4 linked regions of the Caenorhabditis elegans genome follow. The protein of the gene in region 1 interacts with the protein of each later gene in a biochemical or structural test. Each region holds a gene or a part of one and is shown on either strand. Other genes may lie near its edges. The genes, in order: dmsr-7, flp-23, flp-17 and flp-7.

What was found.
Region 2: the proteins of dmsr-7 (region 1) and flp-23 interact in a test that uses a peptide from one of them, tested with the Caenorhabditis elegans proteins (one large-scale study listed by BioGRID).
Region 3: the proteins of dmsr-7 (region 1) and flp-17 interact in a test that uses a peptide from one of them, tested with the Caenorhabditis elegans proteins (one large-scale study listed by BioGRID).
Region 4: the proteins of dmsr-7 (region 1) and flp-7 interact in a test that uses a peptide from one of them, tested with the Caenorhabditis elegans proteins (one large-scale study listed by BioGRID).

The regions. Positions count from the first base shown.
Region 1 is NC_003283.11:5,403,424-5,409,609, forward strand, and holds dmsr-7 (G-protein coupled receptors family 1 profile domain-containing protein), read left to right. Parts: upstream 1-1,929; 5' UTR 1,930-1,946; coding exon 1,947-2,032; intron 2,033-2,099; coding exon 2,100-2,312; intron 2,313-3,167; coding exon 3,168-3,311; intron 3,312-3,507; coding exon 3,508-3,766; intron 3,767-3,814; coding exon 3,815-3,945; intron 3,946-3,993; coding exon 3,994-4,119; intron 4,120-4,330; coding exon 4,331-4,471; intron 4,472-4,535; coding exon 4,536-4,610; intron 4,611-4,660; coding exon 4,661-4,775; 3' UTR 4,776-4,963; downstream 4,964-6,186. Other genes in the region: C25A6.1 (Serine/threonine-protein phosphatase), read left to right, coding at 5,105-5,428, 5,812-5,940, 6,011-6,086, 6,133-6,186.
Region 2 is NC_003281.10:8,648,176-8,653,049, reverse strand, and holds flp-23 (VVGQQDFLRF-amide), read right to left. Parts: upstream 2,284-4,874; 5' UTR 2,274-2,283; coding exon 2,148-2,273; intron 1,337-2,147; coding exon 1,136-1,336; intron 1,091-1,135; coding exon 965-1,090; 3' UTR 856-964; downstream 1-855. Other genes in the region: F22B7.9 (uncharacterized protein), read left to right, coding at 46-181, 232-261; F22B7.3 (uncharacterized protein), read right to left, coding at 3,594-3,650, 3,696-3,865, 3,915-3,987. UniProt on the Caenorhabditis elegans protein: FMRFamides and FMRFamide-like peptides are neuropeptides.
Region 3 is NC_003282.8:17,189,155-17,194,237, reverse strand, and holds flp-17 (FMRF-Like Peptide), read left to right. Parts: upstream 1-2,346; coding exon 2,347-2,530; intron 2,531-2,725; exon of another isoform or gene 2,726-2,746; intron 2,747-2,907; exon of another isoform or gene 2,908-2,931; intron 2,932-3,288; exon of another isoform or gene 3,289-3,309; intron 3,310-3,444; coding exon 3,445-3,545; intron 3,546-3,591; coding exon 3,592-3,699; 3' UTR 3,700-4,034; downstream 4,035-5,083. Other genes in the region: C52D10.3 (DUF4140 domain-containing protein), read right to left, coding at 4,591-4,782.
Region 4 is NC_003284.9:5,883,213-5,887,612, forward strand, and holds flp-7 (TPMQRSSMVRF-amide 2), read left to right. Parts: upstream 1-2,652; 5' UTR 2,653-2,654; coding exon 2,655-2,749; intron 2,750-2,865; coding exon 2,866-2,904; intron 2,905-2,956; coding exon 2,957-3,247; intron 3,248-3,294; coding exon 3,295-3,403; 3' UTR 3,404-3,621; downstream 3,622-4,400. UniProt on the Caenorhabditis elegans protein: FMRFamide-like neuropeptides. Stimulates serotonin-induced fat loss by binding to and activating the npr-22 receptor which leads to induction of the atgl-1 lipase and subsequent fat loss.

The sequences.
Region 1 (6,186 bases):
ATCTGTGAAAAACACATCTGGAACTTTATTCAATAATCTTTCTTTTTCTTCACCCCAATTGTTTTTTGTTTCGTTCTAGGCCTGTTTGTATCTTTGTATGATAGCAAAAGTCAGAGCCACTGTAACTAAATAATGTGCTCAAACTGAAAAAAAACGGAGGCATTCCAAGCAGCCGCCTGAATCATTCTATCCGGGAGTCTGCACAGCCATCTGAAAGATTAGTCTAGAATTGAGCATTAGGAAACTTGTGGAGGAGCCAGAAGGAACCAAGAAAGGCTCCTCTTCATTGCCCAAAGTTTTGTTGTGATTTGTGCATCCCAATTCTCTCCTCTCACTATTCCTACCCCTCCTTCTAGTCCTTCTTTTTTTTTCCTCCTTTTTGCTCGTCACTTTGAAAATAATGCAGTCTCGTCACTGCTTTTCAAGCACTAGAAGCTGCTTGAACTGCAAATTGAATTTGAGGAGAAGCTTCGCCATTTTGTTTCGAGTAAAAAAGACAATGAACACGTTACGTGCGCAATCCACCATTGGTAGCGCCTCTCCTTCCTCCAGTTTTTGCCCCTTTTCAGCTTTTTTCCTGCATTTTTCTCATTTCTCCCCCAATTAGGCTCTCTGCATTTTAAGGTGTTAGAGAATTAGCTAGGTCACTCTTTTGATTTCTTGAAACAAAGATGAAATGTTCAGTGGTCAATAGTCAATAGGCACATCACTTCAATTCCCAAGGGACTTGAGCTTTCTTTCTTCCCCTTTTGACTGCGCCTGCGCCCCTAAACTTTTTTTTTCCACGTTTTCCTTATTCATAAGTCGTGAGAATATTCGATTTTCCGATTCATCTTCTCTGGAAGATGAATTCATTAACTTTGAATGCCACATTTCTGTCTCGAAATCCATTCTGTTTCAAATGTTTCGGTGTGTGTGAAGCAGCACCACACAACAAACATTTTCACAAGATGGCCCCCTGATTTTATATGTTTTATGGTGGCATGAAATACCAAAGTTTAAAACTTTTATACTTAACTAATAAGTTTCTGTTCTAGGTAGGACTAACATGGTAGGCAGGCGCATAAAATTTGAAAGCAATAAATTTGAATTTCGATTAATTTGATGAAAAGCAGGTGGACCTAACTTTGAAGTCCGGCAGGTAGGCAGTCGTTTGGCGCCTACCTAGAAGCCCTAGATCTAGGTTACATGTTCACAAGAAACAGAAAGTTGAGCGAAAGATTAAACATTCACGAACGAGTGTGCTTCACAATTATAATCATCGCAATTATAAAACTGCTGAAAAATATGCTTACTATGTTTTAAAAGACTAGTCTTGCCAAGATAAGTTGGCAGGCATGCCTACATGCCTACCAATTATTTTGTGCATTTTCAAGATCTGCTGAAATCGAAAAAAATTATTTTAAAATGTTTTAAACCCAAATAATAAATATTTTGATAAATATGGCTCTCTTTTACGGTTTCGAGTGTCATTTTTTTTTAAACATGCAAAATTTACAAAAGAATTTACGCGTTTTTTGCAATTTTTCGCTCACTTTGTTTTCGAAAACAAACAAATCTACCGCCCTGGCCGGCAAAAAAATAGGTTTTTTGGTTTTTTTTACTCTAGGAAATAGTTTTTAAAAAATAAAAATCTTCAATCAAAGATTTTTACAATTTTTCAAAGTATTTTCCTGCTATAGAAATAACAACTCACGGAACAAAAATAACTTCCGGCCAGTGACCTATAATTTTGTAAATTTTTTGAAAAACGAAATTATATATTTTGTTCGAAAACTCGATCAGCTTCTTCCACAACAACCGACTGTCATCTAAAAGTTCAAAAAACACAGAACGCATTCCACCCTGTTGCTCTTGGCTTCTTCTGATTTTCTCCTTATGTTTCTTTGTTTCAATGGTCTTTAAAAACCCCTTAAATTTTCAACATTTTGAAGGATGTGCTAGATATGGAATGTCCGCACGATGCTCAGTTGTTTGATCCGAACAGTAACAGTACGCAGGCATTTCTTCGGAAACTTGCACATTTTCAAAGGTTTGTTAAACTATTTTTTGTGCACTTCTTTCAAAAAAAGAAAAATGAACCAATGATTAATTGTCAGATGGTACCAGCCAATTCACGGATATGTATGTGTGCTCATCTGCGTTTTTGGTATCTTCACCAATTTTGTGCATGTGGCAGTTTTATCGAGACCCAACATGCGCAATTCGGCCGTCAACTGCATACTGACAGCAGTGGCTGTCTGTGATATCGGAACAATGGCATCCTATCTCATTTATATTATACATTTTGTCTTACGACGAAATAATTCCTGGTAATTCTTGTGTGTTTATTGGGTGGAAATGTTTTTGTTTTGGGAAATGGAGCGGCGTGGCGGCTTTTGAGTAGGAACATCAACAAATATGGAATTTTTGGAAAAATAACACAAGCTTTAAAATATTTATTTTCTGGTTTTTCCTATTCCAATTTTATGGTGAATTGCAAAACCCGGAAAATGTCGGTCACTTCATAAAAAGGATGTAGAGTTCGAAGGCGCTGATTGGTTTAAAAATAGTCATGGCTTCTCATTTTGGAAAAATTCAAATATGAAAATTCGCAATTTCAAAAATTGGACATTTTTAAATCTTTCTCGATTTTTTAAGTTTCCTTTTTTTTTGATTATGCAGCATATATTTGAATATTTCGAATACTTTGAAACAAAATCCTTATTTTCCAAACTCTACCTCAAACCATTAATAACAAGAATTCAAACTAAGTGTGCTCTTTCTATTGAAAATTTTGAAGGATATTTATATTCTTCTATTTTTCCACTCAAGTATCAACACACACACACAAAAAAACATCCTCAAAGTAATAATGGAATTTCAAAAGTTGAATGCCCATGTTCGTCACTTGCTGCACTTAATTGAAGAGGCATAGAATTTTAGTTGAACCTGGAACTATTTATTTCCTCCTATCCGTTTTATGTGCATCAAAACATGAAAACAACTGCATATTTTATTGATCATAGGAAATTTTGAAAATCGTCACAAAGCTACAAACTACGTGTATTCATAAATAACAAAAGTGAATTCAAGATGAAAAGTCGCTCGTAAAATGATACTGAAAAACACGAAAACAAGCGTTTGCAATGAAACTCAATAATTTTTATTATTAGATTTTATTACAGCACTCCAACGTTCACTCATTCTTGGTTACAATTCCTATTGTGGCATGTTGTTTTGAGCATCACACTACACACAACTTCTTTATGGCTCGCTGTGGCGATGGCGTTCATTCGGAGGATGACATTAAGGGTTACCGCTTTGAATAGGTATGCTGGGAGCAAAGTTTAAGGGACTAACATTTTTTTATACACTAAGATGAACAAGTTTTGTAATGAAAGTTTTCAAAATTTTTTTCAAACAATGGTAGGTATCCAAAAATATTTAAAATTGAAATTTTACAAAGACATTGCAAGCAATATACCCAGAAACGTTGGCCCCCTTAAAAAATCTGGAAATTTTCAGTCAATGGCAACGACCAAAGTTCGCATGGAAGTTGTGCCTGGGAATCTATATGGTCGTATTTGTACTTTGTATTCCAAATATGCTGGTCCACGAAATCGCCCGTGTAGAAGGAAATGACTGGCGACCTGGCAAAACGTGTCAAAAATTTGCATCGAACTACTCTGAACCGGTGTACACTTTTATGGTCAGCCACGCGGCGACTATCAACAATTGCCGGTTGTTTAAATGGAATATTTGGATGATTGGAATTCTGTTCAAGGTTAGCGAGTACGCGAGTTATCAAATTAAACGTCCTACCAGTTTTCAGATCATTCCATGTATTCTGCTAATTTTCTTGTCTTTCGGCCTTGTATCAAAGATTAGAGACGCAGAAAAGCATCGGAGGAAACTAACGAGTGTTCCGTCAAATGCATCAACAGATTCAAAACCATTGAAAAAGTATAGTCAACTCTCAAAGAACTTTTATGACAAAATGGAAATTTTCAGAAAGAATGGAACATCAGATAGAACCACATTGATGCTTGTTGTTATTTTATTGGTATTTTTAATAACGGAGTTTCCACAAGGAATCATCTCGATTCTTTGCGCAATTTTTACTACAGACGTTCATAGGTAAGATTTGATGTTTAACTAGAAATTTGGCCTGGAAAAACTGAAATCGAACTGCCCCAAGCTTGACCCAATTTTTCTTGAGTCATTTGAATTTTTGGAAATTTGGGTGCAGGCTGAGTCTTGCAAAAGTGTTGCTAAATTTTTGTTGGCCCAATTAAAGCTAAAATTGGGCGCTAAAGAAGTTTTCGAAAAATTAAATTTTCCATTTCAGATACCTCTATTTCTACATTGGTGATGTTCTTGATCTCCTATCGCTTGTCAATTCCTCTGTAAATTTTGTTTTATATTGTGTGATGTCTTCAAGATACCGGCAGACGTTTTGGGAAGTTATCATTCCTTCGTGGGCTTGTGGGTAAGTTCATTCTTATTGAACCAGTTCCTGTTACAGTAGTCTAAAATAAAATTTTTCCTCTCAGATTGTGGACGACCCGTCGTGGTTCTCCGACGGAACTTTCACAGCTTCAGTTGAACAACAGCTTACGACTAGGAAGGTCAGTTAATTTGTTTTTGAAGTCTGGAAAATATTATCTTTAATTTGCAGAAAACAAAGCTATACGCCACTGGCAACTGAACCGGAACCAGCACGCAATGAGTATTGGCGGTATGAAGCTTCCGTGTCGGACAATCAGAACAGCAGTAGAGAACATCAACTTTAAATTCCAATTTTTTCGATCTCGGTACAAATTCCCTTTGCAGATTTTTTGTGATATCTTGCTCATTTTCATAGCTTTCGCATTTTCTATTCTATTCTTGTTACGGGTACTTTTTGTTTTTTATTAATTCAGTTTTTATATAAATCAATATGGTTTACAAAATTATTAAATTATTCACGGCGCCGTGAAAAAAAAATTGTTTACAAAAAGACACGTAGATGTGAGTAAAACTAGGAAAAAAAATTATTTTCAATTGAAAGTGATTTCCGAAAGGTGAGTTCTCTTTTTCTCTTCCAGGAATCAAAAGTTAAAAAGGTTTGATGTTTTAGATTATGAAAGACGACGTCGTTGACAACATAATAATTGATGTCCTGAGCGCTAGTACTCACGAAAAGCTACTTTCCGAAGTGATCACGGAAGGACGAGTTCTAAAGCTTCTCGATTTGGCACTGGATGTATTTAAAAGACAGAAATCAATGGTTGAAATGAATGCTCCGATAAAGGTGTGCGGTGACATCCATGGACAATTCCCGGATCTTCTTCGTCTCTTCCATCGTGGTGGATGGCCGCCGACTGCGAATTATTTATTCCTTGGTGACTATGTGGACCGTGGAAGATTTAGCATTGAAACCATTGTTCTTCTTCTCGCTTATAAGGTTTGTTGCTTTAAGTTTTGCAAAAAGAAGCTAGGATCAAAAATTGTGACGCGCCAGAATTAATCATTGACACAAAGAATGCCAAAACAGGGGATTTTTGCAGAGACCGCTTAGATTTTCCAAAATAAGCGTACACATGTGATAAATAAATGTGTTTTCAAAAAGAAACATATTTATTGTCCATCACATATTGCTCTGCAAAAAAGTGCGCATCTCTCAAGTATCAAAGTGACAGAAAGTTGATGCTGCTCCGATGAGCTGTCAAATTTGAAAAATGACGTCAACTGGAGTGATGGATCTTTTGGACGTTTATTTCTCTCTCCCGATCTTCCAAATCCCATGGCGTGAACTTCTTTGAAACATTTTTCAAGTCATGATTCCAGGTGAAATTCCCGGGCAATTTATTCTTGTTGCGTGGAAACCATGAGTGCGAGTTTGTCAACAAGGTATATGGATTCTATGAAGAGTGTCAGAAACGCTATCAAAGTGTTCGCATGTTCACGGCTTTCCAGGTAAATTTGATTTTTTACCAAAATTGAACAATAAGGTGCAATATTAATACAGGAAAAACGGTACTTTCAGGACGTATTCAATTGGCTTCCACTCTGCGGACTCATTGCTAATAAGATCTTGTGCATGCACGGAGGACTATCGCCTAGTATGTCAAAGGATTTCACTTTGGACAACCTGAGAAAAATTAATAGGCCATGACGGCAAGGAGAGACTGGTAGCTGATCTTTTGTGGGCCGATCCTATTA
Region 2 (4,874 bases), on another chromosome or scaffold:
TTCCGCTGTTCATTTGAGTCTTCATGAAATATCTCTGTTTTGCAGTCTCTTCTCCTGCCGCACACACTACGCAAACGTTGACGGGTCGTTGACCGCCTTCTTACAACTGGTGAAAAGACGTCGTGAATTTGAAGCAATTGAAAGATGGTCTTCTCCAAGAACTGATATCATTCAACAAAAGGTTGGCAGAAAATTGAATTTTAATTTAAAAATTAATTTTAAACATTCCAGGTCTTTCAACTCACTCGTTCATTGTTCTGATCGTCGATGCATACCGAATCTTCATTTAATCCCAAACATCTGTAAATATGAAACTGAACAATGTGCCTTCTTGACACTGATATAATTCTCCATATTACGGTTATCTCATCACTCAAGTTTTATCCTCAATCTGTTTTTCTTTCGAAAAATTGTACTCATTGAAATACATCACATTTGATGATTTGTCGGTATAATAAATTAATTTAATTTCAAACTTCTTTCGGAATATTCTCTGTACTACTGCAAAAAAGAGCGGAACCCGGTCTTGACACGACAAATTTTTGTTAAATACGAGTAGGTGTGCGCCTTTGAAGATTACCGTAATTACAAACTCTCGTTGTTGCTGAATTTTTGAATTTTCAAAGTAGTTTCCTCTAGGAAAATACTTTGAAAATTCCGATTGAAATATATTTGTGTAAATACTAAGCATTTAGAATAAAACGATTTAATCAAAAAATTAAATGATAGTAATCTTCAAAGGCGCACAACTAACATTTGTCGTGTCGAGACCCACTACCGTACTTTTCGGACGAAAATCTCAAAGTTTCGTATCTGGATTATATCTTTATAACTTCATATTTCATGGAATAATTGTTTAACAAGAAGATATTTTATTTATAACGATTCCCCACACATTACAATAGTTTCGAGAATGTAATATCAAGTAAAAAAAAATAATCGGACGCATCGAATCCATATTATTTTATTGATAAACAATCTCTGGCTCCCCATTGACCCGAATATACGAATTCTTCACATCATCAGGTCCTCCTTCCGATCCTCCACCAACTCCAGAAGCCATTCCGGCTCTTCCGAATCGCAAAAAGTCCTGAAAGCTGATTAGAAATTGTTGAATGCTGTGCTCAACTCTCACATTTCTTCTAGGCGGCGCAATTTGGCTCATGAACTCGGGATGACCTTCCCGTTTTGTATTTGGACTCGGGCTTGACACAGAAATCGATGAAAGGGGAAGTGGTTTCTCATGAACACATATTTTGTCGATAACACAATCACGGTTAGAAGTGAATAGACAAGGAACAAATAATTCAACTTCTCGACATGTGGGAGCCAATCTCTATATTAATTTTAGAAATTTAATAAGTTATTCAAAAATTATAAGACGCACCATGCCAACTTTTTATGTTAAAAAGTTTTGAGAGTTTTGTGAAAATATCAACTACAAAATCTAACATTATTGATAGATCAATGATATTCTCCAACTGATCGGAAGTGTAAATTCAAGATTTTGTGTATATTTCCGAATGATTAGAAACCTCTACTGAAGCTTGATCTATCGAAAATCAAATGACTAATTTTTTGATATGATATTAAAACACATTATAATTTTGACAACAAAAAACAACGAACCTGAAATTTTGTTTTTTTTCTGTCAAAAATATACCCGGCCTCGACACGACAAATGTTCAATGAATGCAAAATGGCGTAAGCTTTTAAAAAATACTGTAATTTAAAACATTTGTTGCTGCCGAATTCAAATTGATTTTTCATAGCTTAAAAAAAAGTTTTTGTTAAAATTTTTGGGTTAATTCTGAGTTGTTTAAAACATGAATACATATATTTTCACAAAACTAAGTCGATTCGGCAGCAACAAAAGTTTGAAGTTACAGTACTCATTGAAGGCGCACATCTTTTTGCATTTATTGAAAAATTGACGTGTCGAGATTGGGTACCGTATATTTGACGAAGAAATCGTAAAAATCTCGTGTCTGGCTAATATGGCGAGGTTTCTATTTTTATAAAAATCTTACTAGAGGCATTGGAATAATATTAGGCTTTAACTTGTGGGTTGAGATTGTTCTACTTTCCACGTGACTCTTATGATCCAATGTTACAATGGCTCACTCAAAATGAAATAAAAAATTCACCTGTTGTCCAACGACACGCTCAAACGGAACAGCTCTTCCGGAGCGAAAAAGAGCACCGCGGACAGCCGCTGTTTCTTGAAGAACGACGAGAATATATAGAAGAATTGAAATTTTTGGAAGAAGCATCTCGTTGAGAGAGAATATAAAATAATCTCATAGAATTTAGGACCATCTTTTATACAATAGTATACCGGATGATAACCATGTTGTAAATCTATCAAAAGACAAATCTCGAAATCAGTATTGAAATTAATGTTACGTAAAATCCTAGAAAAAATAAATTAAAAGCTATAAATCTATCTTTGCTTCCTCTCAATCGTACGACTATATACTCAAAAACCAAATATGCTTGGTTTTCCTAGCACTCTCCGTCTCGGTCCCCCTCGACTCGAGAGGGCCTCGAGAATGTTGTAACGCTCAAAGTCCCCCATTTTTCTCCAGCCGGGCAGTGGCCGGATGGTCTAGAGGTATGATTCTCGCTTCGGGTGCGAGAGGTCCCGGGTTCGATTCCCGGTTCGGCCCAAACATTTTGCCTTAATATTTATCGTTAATTTTATGTTCTAGCGGTGGATTTCTTCAGGCTCGAGTTATTGATATATTTGAATACCTTGCAAAAATAAAGAACTTATTTTGGATATATTAATGGTAGGCGTTTTATTGTTTGAATGACCAAGTTGAATTATTCTTATTTAAATTCATTCCCGCTCTGCAATATAGATTTCAAAAGAACGTGCACAACACAAGAGTAATAGGAGCATAATAAGGACACTGTTAAAAACAGGAGTACCAGAGAAAAAAGACAAAAGATTTGTCAGAGTTTTAAATAATTATACTTTGCCACTTTTGTTTTCCAACAAGAAATTATGAGTTGTTCCAAAAACATATGCCTAATTACCATTCGTTGACTAATACTGTCACAAAAACACCGTAGTTTGTTTCAAAATCCAATCCGTCTTTGCAGTCCAAAAGATTCGATTCAGCCGTTCTAAACCGAAAATATTACGCCCACGGTTAGACCATATCATGTGGAAAAATAAATATTTACAGTTTAAAATATAACATTTTTATCGAGAATTATAAAACAGTTTTCTGCATGGAATAAATAATCAATGATTTTGAATGAACGAGCTTTTTTTTCAAACGATGAATCAATTGCGTCCTAGACAAATTGACAAACAAAATCAATACTCACGACCGGATCAATCAGAGGAGTGCTCCAATAGCCTCACAGTTTTTTTTGTACAAAGCAATGCTAACTATTGTTCGGTAAGTTGTTTCGTTTTTTCTCAGTTTTGATTTTTTTTCTCTGATATTGTTTTGTGAAACATAGTAGCAAGTAAGTAATAAATATCTAATAAATATCGGTAGATTCTAGCAACTTCCAGACTGTCCCATTGCCTAATTTAATAATTTAACAAATTAGTTTATTCGGTTTCAAAAAATGAATCAATTACACCCAAGACTGCGGTCAACAAACAAAATCTTCCACCCAAGTCCATTGTCCTGAAAAATTAGTTTTGTCTTCAAAATATTGATTCAATAACCCACATTCAAAGCGCTAACTTTCATGTCAAATTCTTGTCTGTACTTGAATAAAGTGAAGGTATTAACATGAAGAATCATTTCTCCTGATGTTTTATCTCCCTTGAAATCTTTAATTGTGATCTTTGGATCTTCGTGATGAGCAGCAAATTGTTGAAGCCATTTGAAGAACATTCCTGAAAATTTTATTAAAAAAGACTTTGAAATATTATTACAGAAACCAACCTAAATTTTCGTAATGTTGAGCATTACATTCATTGAACAACATTTCAAGATCCAGGTAATTATTGTGTGCCATGAAGGCTTCTGGTGTCTTTTTTTTGGATTACGTCGATTAGAAGTTGGACATAGAATTTGGTAAACTCCTGGAACGTAGTGGGATCCTTAGTAAGATCAACTACTTCAGGTTGATCAAAACTTTTCAGGAATCTTCTTGCTTTTGGTGCATTTTGCAGATCATGAGTACGAATCTGAATTTCAAAGGAATTATTCCTGCGTTTGGACATCAAAGTGACACGGGTTTCCGTTTCACATTCAGAAATCGATTTCGAATCGCTTGACATGACACGAGTTTTCTACAGAGGTTTGATTAAATTTACGAGGCATCATACCATTAAAAGGTAAAATTTCGTCACTAACTCTGATAAACACGTATTTCCACGGTTTTCACACAGTTTTAGTCAAAAGAAGAACTTACGATGAAAGAGCTCACAAGAACGGAAAAAGAGGCGAGGGCGAGAATAAGAAGACGCATTTTCGAATGATTTCTTCGAATGATCTGGGAAATATTTATGCATATTGATGGTTGGGATCACAAATCGAATTAAATTTTATTGATTTGAGAACATTTACTGTCCACCTCCGGAGAATGATCTGAAATTTTGTTTTTTTTTGAAAATACAAAAATCGCTGTGATGTGATATGAATTCATAAAATTTGGAACCCCGACTCCCAGTGTTTTGTTCATATAAAAAAAAGTAAAATAGTGACACTATTTTGATTTAAACTAAAAAACAAAAAAAAATAATTAGAAAAGTTCAAATAACTGTGGTCCACAGAGCAAAGCGGTTGAAAAGCGCCCTCGACCATGGTGCAACATCTACTTTGAAGGATCAGTGAAACACTAAAACACTATTCACCACACATCAAGTCAAACTACGAACAATTAAAACATTAGTTCCTGCT
Region 3 (5,083 bases), on another chromosome or scaffold:
GCTGGATAGGCAGGAGTTTTTTTTTTCGGATATATATTTAAAAAAAACAATTTTTAAGTAATAGATATTTTCACAAAAGGCACATTTCTAGGAACATTAAATAAACAGCTTATAAAATTAAAATATTGCTAGAAGTTCATTTGAATGTGTTTTGGACAAATCATTACTCAAAGTAAAACAGTAAAATATTTACTGTAAGCAAAATCGCATCGTTCTCAGCAAAGATTGCATCATACACTTAAAGTAGTCTCTGTGTATCTGGTGACACGGAGGAAAAAATTTTTTTGAAAAGTGATTCATTTTTATAAAATATCGAAATGTTTTCAAACAGAATTTCAACTCTCAATAATTTTCCGTTTCGGAGAAGGTGCACGAAAATATTTTTGTTTCATATAATCAATTTTCATTTTTAGAAGGTTTTTTTCTTAACCATCATTCATTGAATTTCTCGATTTTTTTTCGGAACCTGCAAGGATGTAGAAAAATGATTCTTACAAAGTTCTAAAAATTTGAACATACTTTTGAAAATTTTACTGTTTCCCATTATCTATTTAGGTTTGTAACTTATACAGAATTCAATGTTATAGATCCATCAATTTCAAATAAAACGGAACAAATCGTTTAAATAAATAAAATCACTGTTTCAGGTGGTTTATTTTAAAATATGTTTTACTTACATTAGGAAACACTTGTTACAACGAGTGATTTTTATATTGGCAAATTATTATTGTTTCAGTATAACCAGCCATATTTGTAGCATTCGTTGAAACAGGAAAAAAAATTCAAAAATAAAACCGGCAAAATGTCTCTTAATCCATCATTCATTCATTCAATTCTGCATTTTCCGAAATTTTTCGGAGATTTCCGAAAAAGGGGCGGAGCTTACATTTTTTCATGAAAATTTACTTTTAAATTTATTGAAGAGCATTAAAAAAACAGCTTGTATGTTTAGTAGTTTTTTCTCTGATTGATTTTAAAAGTTTTTATTTTAATTTTTAAATAAAACAAATAGGCAGCGTTTCATTGGAAATATGAAAACGTTAATATTCCAAGCGTTTTATATTAGAAATTCTAGAAGAGAACTGTCTTGGCCAAAAAAAAGTATCAAAACAGTTTACAGTTTCGAAAAATTTGGAATAAGTTTCAAGTAACAGAACATTTTTAAAATATTCGGTTTCAACAAAAAATTTTATTTGTTTTTTTTTGTTTCAAAAGTGTCAAATAATCTCTCGTTCATTATGCAAACTGGAAAACGAAATATGCCTTAAAATTGTGAAAAAAAAGTTATATACTGAAAGCATATAAATTAAGTATCCATCAGGTTCTAAAAACTGCTTAATTTTTTCCAAAATGCGTTTTTTATTGAAAAAGACAATGTTATTATTTTTCGAATAGTTATTAAATGTTTTTTGTTAATCGGAATTTTTAATACGTACTTCACAAAATATTCCAAATAATTACAGTACGTTAGCTTTGAATATATGTTCGAAAACCGTCTTCTAATCCATCATTCATTCAAATTTTGAGAAATAATTTTCCGAAATATCACGGAGTTTGCGAAAAATGGAGCGGGCTTGAACTTTTTTAAAGTATTTACAAAAATTATTATTTATTGCTTCCTTGGGGGTATTTGCAAAATAAATTATTTTTCGGGATTTTTCATAATGCCTACCGCTATGTTGCTTACCTGCTTTATGACATTCCACTACTAACACTCCCGCCTGCCTGATAGCTACTCATATATCTACCTACCTGCCTACCTGGTGCCTCTATGCCTAACTATTGCCTTTCTTCATTTCGACGGTAACTCGGAGTTTTGATATTTGCTCAGTGTAGCTACCAACACCTTTTTAAAGATTTAAATCAAAAAATATAGAAATTATTTTTCGGCAGTAGGCATGTGGTAGGCAAGCACATTCGTGACAAGTTGATTCACCAAAAACATCATCAGACCAAATCTGGGCGGAGCTTGAGCATTCCACCTTTACGTCCGTGTTCTCGGCACGTTTTCAACGAGGCGTGCTCAGCTCCGGATACCGTATCCGATTTCTCAGAAGCCTCTAAGTTTCCCGTGCTTTCTTGTCAAATTGATTAGGAAATGATTCGGATTTTCTGAATTTTTGAAAGATTTTTCGGTTTTTTCAGTGATTTCAATCGGAAATTCGGAGCCGGAAATGCATTAGGAAGGGGCTAATAGCTATAAATTGACACGGGAAATTCAGATTTTTCATTCATTTTTCACACATTTTCTGTTACTTTTTCTCAATGATTTTTTTGTGTTTCCATTTTTTTTCCTTTAAAAAAATTCTGTGTGGAAATATTTTCCGCAAAACTTTATTTTTCCAGATGCTCTCCAAACTAGTGCTCACCACTTGTTTGTTGCTCACAATTTCGGGATCCTCCCAGGCCGCTTCAATGGAGGAAATTCAGTCGGAAAAGTTTTGCGAGAAGTTCCCAACACTCCACATGTGCCGACTGAAAGAAGAGCTGACAGGCAGTTTGGTCGAGTTACAGTATCTTTTGCAAGATGGTGAGTCGGCTGGAATATTTTTTTTAGTTGGACGTTGTTCGATAGTTCCTCTAGTTTGAGAGATTTAATGGAAAATGTGAAATTTCTTGAAAAAAATAGTTGTGAAAAGTATAGATTTTTTAGGATTAGAGCACAATATTAAAATTGTAAATCATGAGTGATAGAAATTCGACTTTTTTTCTTTTTTATTGGTAGTTTTATAGAAAAACGTTACTAATGAATTCAAACTCTCAAGTCGTTATTTCTCGTTTTCGTAAAACGGAAAAAAACATTAATTTTAACGTTTAATTTTAATTTATCACGTTCTCTTGAAGAATCTTAATTTTATTTTACCGTTTCAAGCCTTTCATAAAGATGGTAATGTTTCCTCATTCTAATGATGACTCTGTAACGTCGCATTTCAGAGAATATAGAAATATTTCAATTTTTAGTCCGTGAAAACAACCATGATAATAATAAAACGAATTTTTTTTTAAGTTCGTGACTACTTCGGTCACATTTGAAAATTTTTCGTAGCAGCAAAAAAATGTCTCGTTGTTTAAAATTATTAATATTATCCCACCGCAGATTTTTTTAGGTTTAGAGCATTTTTTTAGAGCTCAGAGCATTTTTAGAGCATTTATGTAGGTCGGGTCTGTCATCCAAATAAAATAAGAAAACGATGAAAAAAAGCTATGAAAAAGTCAAATTTCAACCTAATTTTTCTGAACCTTTTTTCATTTTCTATTTTGAAATTCTACTTTTTTTCGCATATAAATTTGGTAATTGAAAAGAATTGACTGTGAGACCCCTAAAAATGAAAAATGTTACAAAACATTTGAAACAGTGAACTTTTTTTTTGAAATTTTTTACAGCATCATTCCCGGAGCTATTCTACTAAAGAATCTTTTATAAAAAAACTTTTTAACTTTCAGGAATCAACAATCAACAGCAAGCCGGAGCTCAAGAGGTACAAAAGAGAAAGAGCGCCTTTGTCAGATTCGGAAAGAGATCTGCTCCAGAGGAAGAGGCTATGGTATGTTAAAAATCCCATTTTGTAAGCCTCCAACTTTTTTTTTCAGGAAATGGAAAAGCGTAAATCAGCGTTTGTCAGATTTGGAAGATCATTCGGAATGGAGCCACAGATTACTGAAAAAAGAAAGAGCCAGTACATTCGCTTTGGAAAATAATTTTTTTTTTTTGATTTTCAAATTCCCACCATTTATTCCTTTTTCAACCAACATTTTGAGCAACTCCTACTCTCTTGGGTACCAATATTTCTCTAAATTTACAAAAATTCACAACCCCCTGTTAAAATTCCCAGTTCGTGAATTTTCCTTCTAGTTTTTTTTCCGAGAAATCTTCCTCCGTGGGCTAATAATTTTTTTCTTTTTGGTGTGGACAACTTTTATTAATTGACTGAATGTGTTTGTCAATCGGTGTGGCGATGACACCCCAAACCTCCACAATCCTGTTTCTTGATCAGCTTGAAATTGAGATTTGAATAAAACTGACTATTTTGTTAGACTGGTGACTGCTGGAAAATGTTGTTTCAACTTTTTGATGAATTCTTATAAAAATAGCAGCTGAAAATTGATTGTGAAATTGTGTGTTTCAGAGTGTAGTTGAACGTTTGCAGCATCCTTCATCGGCCGGGTTTCAGCATAAGTGGCCGCACCCCTTAGGAGACGGACCCTGTCCAAATTTAAAATCGCGTGATCCTTGAAAATTTCGGTTACTATGTAGTTTTCAGGCATTCAGGAAGATAGTGGAGATCCAATTGACATTGAAAACTTCATGCAGAAGTAAAAACTTACTGTTTCACTTTGTTTTTATAATTTCATATACTTTTCTTTATAGTTTCTTTGTAGTTTTCTTAGAAAATAAATACGAATACTTTAATAGTCTCAATTTTTCCGAGAACAAAAAAAAACATTTATTATCATCTTTGAGACAGAACAATTGAAAGAACTAAAACCAGAGAAGAAATGTGGGTAATTTGATACAAATTGAATATTTTTAGTACTCAAAAAATACGACCAATACACAGAAACAGAAAATAAATAAATCAGGGAAAATGATTAATTAAACTTATAGGAAAGCGATTCCGAAGCCGGATGCTCAATTGTGTAGCGAACTGGGAGAAGACGATGTTGGCCGGGTGCCAAAATGACACACCATTCAAGATTATGGTCTTTGTTAAGACGAGCATCTGGTGGAGATGAGTTCTTGGAGGAAGACGAGCTTTTGATCTCCGGAGACACGATAGAAACCTGGAACTGAGAAAATTGTCTGCAAGGTCAAGGGGTGAACTCTCGGTCACTTGCTCACCAACCTAGCACACTACCACTGCGCCAATAACCCGCTTTTTTGTACTAACTACATTTCTAACTAATTGCAAGAAAAATGTTACCTAGTTTCATTCTTTTGAAACAGAAGCTCAAAACATTTTCCAAAACCGAAATGAGGTGTGGTAGTTGGGATTTGGCGGGGGCGGCAGGGGTAGTTTCTTCTCAATTTTAAAACTTTCAGATTTTGTAAAATTTTATCTACTTTCTGCGCTCTAATGAAAAT
Region 4 (4,400 bases), on another chromosome or scaffold:
TTGAATCAAAAAATAAAATAAACATGACGTTATGATTTCAATAAAAACTATGAGTAGATGACAACTACTACATGTTGATCAGCAGTACTCTAAGAAGTGCACTTCGGAAAGATATTTCAAGTGCCAAACGTTTTTCTAGAATTTAGAAAGCTTTACGCACAGAAAAATATTTTGATTTCTCACTATAAAAACTAAAAATAAAATCTAAAAGCTTGACATTTTGATGGCGAACTATGAAAATATGAAAATCAAATCTCCAACATCTCAAAACAATTTTTCAACTGTCAAGTGTTCATCTTCATTCTTTTCTTTTTTATTTTTTTTCTGATTTTTGTTGCTCATTTTTCTTTAACCCGCTTTTCCAGGAGTTCTCCAAAAAACCCTCGCTGTTAGCTATAAATCAATTTATTTTGGGAGTACATGTTGCCACGAAAAATAAAACAAAGTAATTTTCTAAGAAATCGGAATAAATTTTTTACCCTTATTAAAAACTACTACGTCGATTAATGTTAAACAAATTTAATCATACATGTTTCTAGCGAAAAAAAAACCTTGAATACGGTCAAAGAACAGCGAATTCTGATAAGGCATATTTTCTATGTTTATTTATTAGTGTTGCTTGAATAAATTCATGATCATTTATAGTGATGCGAGAGCTGAAAGTTTCTTGGAGCGAAACAAAAAGCAAAATTGGAGCCTATATAACCATGTGATCAAAGTGTCAAAATGATTTAACAATTGTAGTTTCATAAACTAGAAATTACGTGTGGAAACTGACAAAAACTTTCAACTTTTCAACTTTTCCGCCTTCAATTTTTCTAGAATTCTTAATTTCATTGCAGCAGCGACTTAATTTCCGTTTTGACGTAGACTTAAGATTATATCGGTAACATTAGTTGTAAGTTTTCTTCGTCATTTTACAAAGACTTACAACTCGCCGTATAAATTTTCAATTTTTTCGGAATTGTTGGCCCACGTGTTTTCATTTATTGTGAACAAAGTTAATAGCTTGGTTGTGTCTGGAAAAGTTACTTAAAGTAGTTCAAAAACTTAGAGTTCTATGAAATAGCAGCTTCTCTTCTGGCATCTCTCACATCTTTTGCTCGAGTTACGATAATTGAGGAAACGTTTGAAATTAAATGCACAGGTGATTCTATAAAATACTTATGGAATGTTTTTGAAAGGGTTTTGCAAAAATACTCAAACGCATCTACAATAAGTGTACATACGTAATATGACATATCACCCAGATTCACAAAACCACATGTTTTATAGATATGGTACTTGGTTTCAACAATTTTTAACATACTTTGAAAAAGAGCAAAAAGTATGTTTTACATTATTTATTGAAAACTCGTGTCAAGACCTGTTATTGTACTTAAGTTTTTTATCTGAAACTATTTTAAACTCTACATTTCACAATCAATGATCAAAAGAAAAACTGACCGAAATTTCTTTTTTTTTATTTTAAACTAGTTTTTGAACAAAATTGAACTTAAAAAACTTCAGTATCCACAATTGAAAAAAAACGTCATTTTTTGATTTTCTTAATCTTGAAGCTGTATTGTAATGTACTTAAAATTATTTTTGTTATGCGACTCTTATAATATTTTACATAAAAAGGACTAGATAAATATGTGTTTGTGCATCACAACCCCCGTTTAAAAATAAATTGAACTTTCATTCATTTATTCATTTCAATTAAACATAATATATTTTATAATTTTTTTTCAGGCTCCAAAATGACTTTTTTATAGGTTGAAGAGCCTGATAATAGTTTTAATAATACCTAAATTTATAAATTGAAATTTCAACGTACATCAGTACGGATAACTTTGTGTCTAAGTAATACATACAAAATTTTTGGAAACTTATTTGTTGAATTAATTTTTATTTTTGCCTTCTTCTAACACTTCCTCCTAAATTCTCAACTGACCGCTCAAAAGGTTTCAAACATCTTTCTCTTTGCTCTTCTGGAGAGTGCTTGCTAGTATCCTAAAATACCCGACACAATCAAACAGAGATGGACCGCGTGAATAATGAAGTGTCCCAAGATCCGTATAATTCACTTTGATTGCTCTGTGAACTTGGATTTTTTTAATCGGGCTAATGCGTCTTTAGCAAAAATAGCCAACCATCTCAATGGATTCCAACCTAATTTTGATTTTTTTTTTTTTTGGTGTTATTTTTTCTCCTTGTTCCGATTTCCAGTTTTTGTTTGGACGAAGGCGGAGTCATAGCATCAGACAAGGTTAGAAGGCATGAGAAGAAGGGGGTGGAGCATGAGCCTTTCTCGAGCTCAGGAATATGAAAGCGTATATAAGTATGGATAGCAGCTTCTATTGCGTTTCTGATTGTGATTATTTTGCCCCGTCATCAGTTTTCTTTTCAGTAAATTGTCAAATACAAATTTTTTGATTACTGTTGCTTGGTCTTGTGCAATCCACTCAATCTTGAATCCAATTTGCAGTTCAAGTTACAAATTGAATTTCCCTCTGCCAACACTCAAAGAAGGGTTCTTTTTTTTGACTTTTCAACTTTTCTCCTCATTTTTTCTCGATTGAAATTTCAATTTTTAAACCACTCCGCGTCATGTTTGGAAACATGACGTCATCGAAAAATACCATCTCGTTTTCATTCAAAGACTTTTAGAAATGCTTGGATCCCGCTTCCTTCTTCTTGCTCTTGGTCTCCTAGTTTTGGTATTGGCCGAGGAATCAGCCGAACAACAAGTTCAAGAACCAACTGAGTGAGTTGAGATTTATTGATATTATGTTGTTCTTGTTGTCGTGATTTGTTGAGTGAATAAATTTATTTTATTATTCTGAATGAACTCCTATTTTTTCTATTTTTTATATTTTTCAGACTCGAGAAGTCAGGAGAGCAACTCTCAGAGGAGGACTTGTGAGTTGTTATTATTCAGAAAAAACTTTATTCTCACACTATGCACTTTTAGAATTGACGAGCAAAAGCGTACTCCAATGCAACGCTCATCAATGGTTCGGTTCGGACGGTCACCAATGCAACGCTCATCCATGGTTAGATTCGGAAAGCGTTCGCCAATGCAAAGGTCCTCAATGGTTCGCTTTGGAAAACGGTCGCCAATGCAACGATCTTCAATGGTGCGTTTTGGAAAACGTTCACCGATGGAGCGTTCGGCTATGGTTCGCTTTGGAAGATCACCTATGGACCGATCGAAAATGGTCCGATTTGGTAGATCATCAATTGATCGCGCTTCTATGGTTCGGTACGTATTGACGTGAAAAGTATTTTGTGAATAAAGCTGAAGTTCAGACTCGGAAAACGGACACCAATGCAGAGATCATCGATGGTCCGTTTTGGCAAACGTTCGATGGAATTTGAGATGCAATCAAACGAGAAGAACATCGAGGACAGCGAATAAACAAGTACATGCAAACACCTTGATTACCAAGAACAAAACGGTCTCACATTGTAGTTTAATCTCGTTCTACGGCCTATTCTTACCTTTTTCATTTATGTATTTTTTTTTGACAATTATTTTTGTGCCACTTGACTAATAGTACAGATTGGTCGCTACCCAAATACTCCAGTGTATCAAAATTAATTTGCGATTTGCAAAATAAAGAACCGACGCCTGTTTTCCAGTCCTTCATCTTAAATTCATGCAATGCAAAGGATGAGAGGATTTCAAAAAAATAAAACTATAAAAAACAGGAAAATTGTTCAGAATGGCTAATACGGTGAGTCTGGTAAGTTGATTAAAAACAATGTACATTTTTTGCTTTTTGGACTAGTTTCGCGCCATAAAGCATTGTGTCCCGAGCCTGGTTTCATGTCCACTCATTCGCTGCAGTATTCAAATATGATCAAACCTGCCCAGCTACAGAAAAGCCTGATCTCGCGCCTTTCCCTATAACGTTAAAAGTTGTTAACTTTATTTCAAAGTGCATCGACTCTCCTAGGAGAGCGTCGTATGAGTTAAGTTGAACTTTTCAGAAAATAATCCAAAATGATTATTAACATTGTAAAGGCTTCTCAATCCCTACGGCAATAAATCATACAGAGCTTTTTGGTCATGGTCACCCGCTCGTTTTCCTGAAAATCAGAAATATACGTATTTGGATAATAGAGGTTTATTGAGAAAGCCTAAATCTAATAAATTTCAAACCGACAATGGTAAATTTTTCGATATAATTTTCTGGAATGGGTTAATTTTTTTTGCAGTTGTTTATATTATGTCAGATAACTTTTTATTAGTAATAGTCAGAACAGACGGGAAGTTGTAATAATATCAAAATGATCGGAAACCTCAAACGGAACAAAACTAGAAGGAGTATTATCTAAAGTTATATTGGGATAGAGGATGCCTCAGATTAAAAAAAAAATTTTGGCAAATAATCAGATATTGGAAATTTTGA